Linked DNA regions of Bombyx mori. The protein of the gene in region 1 purifies or fractionates together with the protein of each later gene. This does not show direct contact. Links are inferred from orthologs where the notes say so. Each region holds a gene or a part of one and is shown on either strand. Other genes may lie near its edges. The genes, in order: mitochondrial import inner membrane translocase subunit TIM50-C and histone deacetylase 6.

The links.
Region 2: the proteins of mitochondrial import inner membrane translocase subunit TIM50-C (region 1) and histone deacetylase 6 purify together in Homo sapiens (affinity purification with mass spectrometry; 3 studies listed by BioGRID and IntAct, counting the BioPlex papers as one, with this or other methods). This does not show direct contact. The link is inferred for Bombyx mori from reciprocal best matches to the Homo sapiens genes TIMM50 and HDAC6.

The regions. Positions count from the first base shown.
Region 1 is NC_085127.1:1,724,952-1,729,550, reverse strand, and holds the start of mitochondrial import inner membrane translocase subunit TIM50-C, read right to left. Parts: upstream 2,843-4,599; 5' UTR 2,703-2,842; coding exon 2,564-2,702; intron 2,199-2,563; coding exon 2,021-2,198; intron 1,162-2,020; coding exon 990-1,161; intron 662-989; coding exon 528-661; intron 1-527. UniProt on the Homo sapiens protein: Essential component of the TIM23 complex, a complex that mediates the translocation of transit peptide-containing proteins across the mitochondrial inner membrane. Has some phosphatase activity in vitro; however such activity may not be relevant in vivo.
Region 2 is NC_085111.1:17,643,066-17,646,895, forward strand, and holds part of histone deacetylase 6, read left to right. Parts: intron 1-695; coding exon 696-898; intron 899-1,230; coding exon 1,231-1,299; intron 1,300-2,107; coding exon 2,108-2,300; intron 2,301-2,902; coding exon of another isoform or gene 2,903-2,962; intron 2,963-3,002; coding exon 3,003-3,062; intron 3,063-3,830.

The DNA.
Region 1 (4,599 bases):
TACTTGGAAACAAAATTAACTACGAATTAATCATAGATCATATAATTTGGTGACCATTCACCATAAGATGCACTTTAAACTCAACCTCCGTGGATCATAAAGTAACCTATTTGTGTGATTGGATCATCAACAATACTGCTGCCAAAAAAAGGCCATCATCGACCACAAAATACGAGGTCAACATCTCAATTGTCTGTCCTCAAACCGGACCGCGTGATTGCTTCGCTGTAAGAATAGGCAGCACAGTCGTAGCCGTGGTGGCAAATGTCGGTCAGTTGGCTCAGTGCGGCGCAGTAGTACTCAGAGAACGTTGCCGTCCATTCTCCTTGGAATCTTCACTTCTTTTGACACCCACGAGAACAGAGAGTGAGGTGCTGCTCTAGGCCAACACCAAAAGCAATGAATAATGTATTCTTTACCAAAATTAATGATTAAAGAATCATTTTAAATAAATTAAGACCCCCTTTAATTAATTCTTAAAGTATTGTTGTTGTCCATGCCATGTTCATGGCAGGGATAGTACTGACCTCCAGCCCGTTTGGTAAGACCAATCAGGATGCACCAGGACATCTGTGAATTCTAAGACTAGAGTGTATGTAGGCTGGTACGGTGGAGGCAAAGGGTCTGGAAGTAATTTCTCTCTTGATGGCTCCTTTATCATCTATAATAACAAAATATTCTGTTTCTATGAGTTTTACAATATCTCCAATCCCATATTCCTTAGAATGTAACAATATAAAATCTAAACCTCAACCATAGGCCAATAGTGGCCTCTTTGAATTCCAATTAAAACTGCATAATATGATCTGTGATAGGATATTAGGCAAATATTTTTGCACTAAAAACGTTTTTAGTGCAAAAGAATTTTATAATGTTCTGGTGTTATTTTAACTATCATCATTTTAATATTTGACTACCAATTGTTTCAAATTAAGTGCTCAAATTAAATGCATATATCAATAATGCATAAATAAAATTATTTTTATTACCTTTTCATAAAATGTGAGTTCTTTCCAGGAACGTCTCAGGTATTGAAAGACAATGGGAAGATGTGAAAATTCATCCTCTATTATTTGACCCTCATCATCCCGTCGGGGTGAGCCCATCTCTATGACAAGGCAGGTCGCTGCTACTGTGAGACCACCACCAAAAACTGCAAAACTAAACATTTAACATTATTTTTATTTTATTCTGTTTCACTTTAAATTCCAAAGTTGATTGGAAGCTTTGTTTTTATTTATGTATAGGAAATATATACAGAGGGGTAAAAGGTTATTTGGTCTAAGCGACATTATGCTTAATACGCGACCTTTATCTTTGTAATTAAAGGTACATTTTATTTGGTATTAGTATTAACAGTTCAATGTTTTTAATAGAACTTTAATTCAGTTTACTCTATTCAAATAGCTGAAGATATTTATTCATATTTTTTCCAAGTTTTAAGCTTTACATGGCTCTCCTGTAAAGTTACAAAAATGTTGCTTAAATCTAATAACATTTCCCCCCTCTATATGTACTGTTATTGATACTTACATACATACACAGGACAGACTAAGAGGTACATTTCTGAGTCAAAGAGCATGTTGCAAGTGCAAAAATAATCAGTCAATGGCATTGAAATAACTTTCATTGAGACTATGTTTAGTACCTATAGACTATATCGAGAAGCCATAGTTGATGCATATCTAGCTCCTCTTATTGTGAAGATGAAAATTAAAGTCAGTAAAATATCAGATCTCAAGATACCTTTCTATACTATTCTAATTTCTTTGTCCTAAAAAACATTAAATATTTTTATAAATAGTTAGACGGTAGGTATGTTTGTATGTATTAGTGAAATGTTAATAAATAACGCCTAATAATACACCACATAAATATAAAACACCCTTCATTTTTCGTTATATATCTGAAGAGCTGGTTGAAAATTAAGAAATAATAAAATAAGAGATAAACTGCATCTTATTCAAGTGGTTCAAATAAGTTTAGGAGCTTGTGAAGAATTTGGTGTTAACTACATTACCCTAATTTCATTCTTCTCCAACTTTTTTCATTTTCTTCAGTTTTCTCTTTGTTTTCTTGCTCAAAACGTTCTTGTTCTTTTTTAATCTGCTGTGCATCAACCTGTGTCTGTGGGGCTTGCGGGAAGAACCTCCCTAAGATATCTACTTTTTCAGGTTTATCATCTTTACTTCTATCATCTGTAAATTTGTATTAACAATAAGAAAGCATTTTATTTATCAAAGTTATATTATTACTTATTTATTTTCAAAGTACATATTATAAGGCAATGTAGAATTCTATTTGTTTTATAGGTGACAGAAGCTGAATAAATATAAAACGGATTTTGACAAACATGTAATGCTTTTGTAAATAGCTAAAAAAACATTTTCTACACTGATTTGACTTGTGTAGTATTGTCAACAAAGCTATGATGTTAGTGGGTTCAATTTAATAATGACGTAAAATTGTTCATCCAACATATTTGTTTATTGTAAATACATGAAAAAATCAATGTAATAAAAAGTCGTACTGAATTTATGAACTATGGGAAATGAAAACTAACCTAAATTTTGATTTGAATAAAATTTTGGCGAATTCGCTGCTATTATCCAAATGTTTTGTCTTGAGTGGCATTTTGTCTCTAGCTTTAAAGATTTACAACACGCGGTTTTTGTCAGAAATAATAATTTCCTGAAATACATTTCAATGTAATAAAAAAATCCGCATTGAGAAACTTCACTAACACACAACCGAGCAAATAAAACTAAACAGTAGATTAGTGTATAATCTATGCAGCAGATCACATCACACTACTCAAGGAGACTTTTTGGCGGGAACACGAGGAGTGAAGTTGTGTGATTTGTTTTATTTTGTCTATTTAGTGTTTCTTCGGGTTTAAATGTGTAATAATGGTGGTTTATTAACTGTTTAATATCTGTGAAAGTGCACAAATGTGGGAAAATGAAACAAAGCCGCTGGACGTAACTTCTCGGGATCCTCCAAAAAGTCCACTGAAAAAATCTTAGTAAATGACCACCATTTTACTGAGATTATATTTCATCTCATATCATCTCATTTATTTCATCCCAGTTGATTAATATCTCAAATTAATCATCTTCATTTCATTTCACACTATGATATCATTTTTCATAAAAATATGAATATACATTAAAATAAGACATGACTTAAAGATCTCAGTTACCAGGTCATCAAATCCCTTAAAAAAACATTACTCAAGGACTTTTTGGCGGGTACGCGAGGAGTGAAGTTGTGTGATTTGTTTTATTTTGTTTATTTAGTGTTTCTTCAGGTTTAAATGTGTAATAACGTTGGTTTATTAACTATTTTATATCTGTAAAAGTGCACAAATGTGGGAAAATGAAACGAAGCCGCTGGACGTAACTTCTCGGGATCCTCCCAAAAATTCCACTGAAAAAATCTCAGTAAATGACCACCATTTTGCTGAGATTATACTTCATCTCATGTCATTTCATTTCGTTTTCATTTCACTTCATGCTGTTTCAACTTCATTTCATTTCAAAATATCATTTTCATATAAAAAAGTTACGTATCATTAAAATTAAAATAAGACTTGGCCTAAAAGTCTTAGTTACCAGGTCATAAAATCCCTTAAAAAAAAAACATTACTCTAAGAGACTTTTTGGCGGGAACGCGAGGAGTGAAGTTGTGTGATTTGTTTTATTTTGTCTATTTAGTGTTTCTTGAGGTTTAAATGTGTAATAACGGTGGCTTATTAAGTGTTTAATATCTGTGAAAGTGCAGAAATGTGGGAAAATGAAACAAAGCCGCTGGACGTAGCTTCTCGAGATCCTCCAAAAAGTCCACTGAAAAAAAAAATGTGAGCCGTCACGGGACGCCTGGCAGATGTGAAACTTCGACATTATGTTGTAAAAGTAATATGCAGAAAAGAACAGATTGTGACAGGAACTAAATATGTCATAATGATAAAATAAAATGTTACGAAAAAATAATTTGTTTTCAAGTAAAACACAGGTTATGTGTACTGTAGTAAACAAAAAATGACACTGTATACACTACAGAGTATACACTATAGGTATCCGAGCTCAGTGTAGCGAGAGAGATGGCTTAACGCCGGATCGAGTGGGAGAGAATCGCACAGTCGATTGCGCATGGCGACGTGTCGCCACACCATACACACTACTGCATATAGACACTATATATATATCATCATATAGCGTGGCGACGCGTCGCTACGGCATGCGTCGCCACGCCAGCAATCGGTTTTACGTGCGGCTATAGATGTTTCACAACAAAAATGTCAGTAAATGACTACCATTTTACTGAAATTACATTTCATTCCATATCATCTCATCTCATTTCATTTAATTTCATTCCAGTTGATTAACGTCTCAAATTAATCATCTTCATTCCATTTCATATTATTATCATTTTTCATAAAAATAAGAATATGAATTAAAATAAGACATGACTTAAAAGTCCTAGTTACCAGATCATAAAATCCTTTAAAAAAAACTACTTTGCAATTTGCAGTTTGCACTATATATTAAGTGTATAATCTATGGTTTGCACGATCTAATGTTTATTTTAGGTAAACCC
Region 2 (3,830 bases), on another chromosome or scaffold:
TACACGTGCAAGATAAGAGTCGTAAACAACATCGTCCCACCACGATACCTTGCTATTTTTATAGCATTATACGCTCCGTTGTTGTCTCTCGAGCTCAGAAGCGAGCGAGTCGCCGTATCAGACGGAACGCTCCTGCGTAATATACGCTCCGAGTTAACATTTCTAGACCGCCCGCTTACCATGTCGCTACCCCAAAGTAGAAATACTCCAACATGTATAGCTATGTTGTATTTACATATCCATGGGTGAAAGGCTATGACAGTTCGCTTAATACGCGACATTTATATTTATAATTAAAGGTACGTTTTATTTGGTATTTGCATCATGAGTTCGATGTTTTTAATTGAACTTCAATTAAGTTTACTCCATTGAAATAGCTGAAGAAGTGTTTTTTTGTTATGATATTTTGAGTGTAATGTTGCGAAAATTTCGCTTAAACCAAACATTTAACTTTGTGAAAACAAAATGTAAATTAGATTGTATATTAAAACTTCTCTCTTCCGTGTCCGTCTTTTAATGATGAAATATGTGTAATTGATGTTACTTGGCGTTTGCCAGTATGCTTATACTCACCACAAATATTTGAAGGCCTTAGAAGTTGAAACAAAAGCTCGGCGGGGCCGATTTGGCACTTCCGCATCTATGATTCAAAGCCCGATATCAATTAGCTTACCGCTTCTGTGTCTGTGGTACAGAGCACGCACGAGTTGGCGCTGATATCGGCCGGCTCGACCATCGACATGGTGGACAGCATCGTGTCGGGTGAAGTCCAGAACGGCGCGGCCTTCGTGCGGCCGCCGGGACACCACGCCATGCACTCGGAGCCCTGCGGCTACTGCTTCTACAACAACGTCGCTTTGGCCGCCAAGCACGCCTTGGACAAAAGGGGTCTGCAAAGGTCAGTGAGGCTTACAGACTCGACACGGTATGGGGGTAGTTGAAGATTATGTGAAGTGCACAGTACTACTGGTGGTAGGACCTCTTGTGAGTCCGCACGGGTAGGTACCACCACCCTGCCTATTTCTGCCGTGAAGCAGTAATGCGTTTCGGTTTGAAGGGCGGTCTATCTAATTTTAATTAATATTTTTTTCTCTGAACTACTGTAATTTTTGTATATACTGTAGCATCGACAAACTCTAAGGCTTTGGAGCCATTTTCTTATATAAAAAAAAAGTTCTAGGGCTGAAAAAATTAAAATTATTGAAAGTTAAAAAAATAACGATTTAATAGGATACTGATCGTGGACTGGGACGTTCACCACGGACAAGCCACACAGCAGATGTTCTACGACGATCCCAGGTATACACTTACTTAGTCTTATTAAGCCATTTTTATTTCTTTTTTCAGCGTGGCAAATGGCATTTTAGCCACAGTGGAGTTAAGTTTTAAATAAAGCCCAAAAATATCCAAAAATCATGTTCGTTTGAGATTTAGATTTTTACTTTTGGTATGCCGGAATCGAGAGTAAAATTCAATTTTATTTATTAACATTAAAATATACCTAATGAAATGGCGGGAAATTTACCGAGTGTGACATGGGCTTTTTGGTGAACACGGAAAGTTCGAAAATCTGTTTCTCACAAGAACGTCAGCGATAGCATTTGACAATAGATTTTATTAATTAATACGTGAAGCAAAAGCTTTGTATCCCTTTTTACGAAAATTGCGCGGACGGAGGAGTATAGAATTTCCCACACTTATAGAGAATATAGAGAAGGAGTGCAGAAAGCAATTTTTTTTTTAAATTATGCATTATTAATACATTAAATCAATAAAAAAACATTACACACACTACCATGTATTTGACACACACACCTATGTAGAGTCATTGTCAAACTTTTGTTATTTGTTATTGCATAAAGTCTGTGTTCAAATTGAAAATAAGTTTATAATATTGTTTGTCTTTAATATTATTTGCTTAGAGTGTAGTATTGGCGAAATCAGTGATTATAGAAGTAAAATAGTATTTGATGATAGAACCATAATAATATACAAACTTATGATTTTAATTAATTATAGTCGAATTTCGACTACTGCGGGACCACTAGTTTTATTAATTTCTTGACGAAAAATACATCGTATCGTTAATCCACTGGGACGATTCCAGAGTGGTATACTTCTCGATACACCGCTACGAGCACGGCTCGTTCTGGCCCCAGCTGCGACAGTCCGACTTCCACTACGTCGGCAGCGGCGCCGGTAAAGGATACAATTTCAATGTGCCCCTCAACAAAACCGGGATGAAAGACGGAGACTATTTGGCCATCTGGCACCAGCTGCTTCTGCCCATGGCCTACGAGGTTAGTTAAGTGTCCATCGCACCGACCCTCTCCTGAGTTGCCTTTACTCAGACATATCAGAAATCTAATGGGTTATGTCAGCGCTATGACATGTCCTTCTTCAAACTAGGCTTGTAGAGAGTACTTTACAGTAGGCTGCAGGTTCGCTCTGCCCCTGGCATTGCTGACGTCCATGGGCGACGGCAACTACTCACCATCAGGTGGGCCATATGCTCGTCTGCCTACAAGGGCAATAAAAAAATGTTTTAGGTTTCACGTTGAACTTTTCCAACGACTTTGACCTATGGCAAAGCTGTTGCTAGTGGTAGAACTAATGGCGTCCAATAGCACTGACAGTGTCCAGAATCCATCTGACTAGGGTATTGACCGTGGCTAACTGCTGCATGAGCCGGGTGAGGTCATAGATTCTTTCAAGTTGACTTTCATAATACTTGAACTTATCGGTACTCAAAGGTTCCGAATGTCACCACACTCAAAGTGACCTAACAATCAGCTGACGCGAAGGTCGAGGACCTCACCCGTCGCGGAAGGTTTTACCTCGCCTATAACGACAATGTGTGATATGTTTTTTTTTTAAATAAAATTTTCTCTCAATCATACAGTACCAGCCGGAGTTGATCATAGTATCTGCAGGATACGACGCGGCCATCGGATGTCCCGAGGTACAATGATCTGATTACGCATGTTGTTGATCTATTTCAGTTCGCGCCCCAACTTGTAATAGTTTCGGCTGGTTACGATTCGGCCTTAGGAGATGAAAAGGTTCGATTTTAAACTCTCTCTCTGTGATTTATGAATTGTCATCCATGCCATTAACAATGCTTATAAACTGCCAATTGGAATTGAAATGACGCCTCAGTTATCTTTAAGCATGAGTTTCGGAAAATTAATGCTTTAAATTGCTGTTTTCCAAAAGGTTTGGTACTTAAATTTCTATTATGCAAATTAAAATCAACGGAATGAGGACAATTTTTGAATTGAGATTTAATTGAGAACAGGCGCTGGCCGTCCGGGGTGTTCATATTGAATCTTGTTTTTGAAAGTACACTTAAACTAAATATAATTTTGTTTTGAAGTGAAACTTCTTTAGGCGCGTTGGGAGTAAAATGTAACTCGCGACAGATTCGTTGCGGATAGAGAGAAAAGATACGATTTAGAAAGAGCGAGAGTGAGAAAATAGACAAAGCGCCTCGCGAACCATTTGACCGTGAAGAGGCAATAGGACAAAACGGGCTAGATCGTTTCTCTTATACACAGCATTCTCTATTACAAGAAAAATTTATTTAAGGATGAAAAATTAAGAAAATCAAAGTACACCGCAAAAGAAGTGTCACTTCTTTCACGTGCACCAAGCTGCACGTGCACCATTTTTTTACACCTTGGGTTTCATTGTTGGAGTTTTAGTAAAGGTCCCTAATTTTTTTCAAAAAAGATTACAGCCTATGTCACTCGGGAATAATGTAGCTTCCAAACAGTGAAAGATTTTTTCAAACCGGTTCAGTAGTTTCAGAGCCTGTTCATTACAAACAA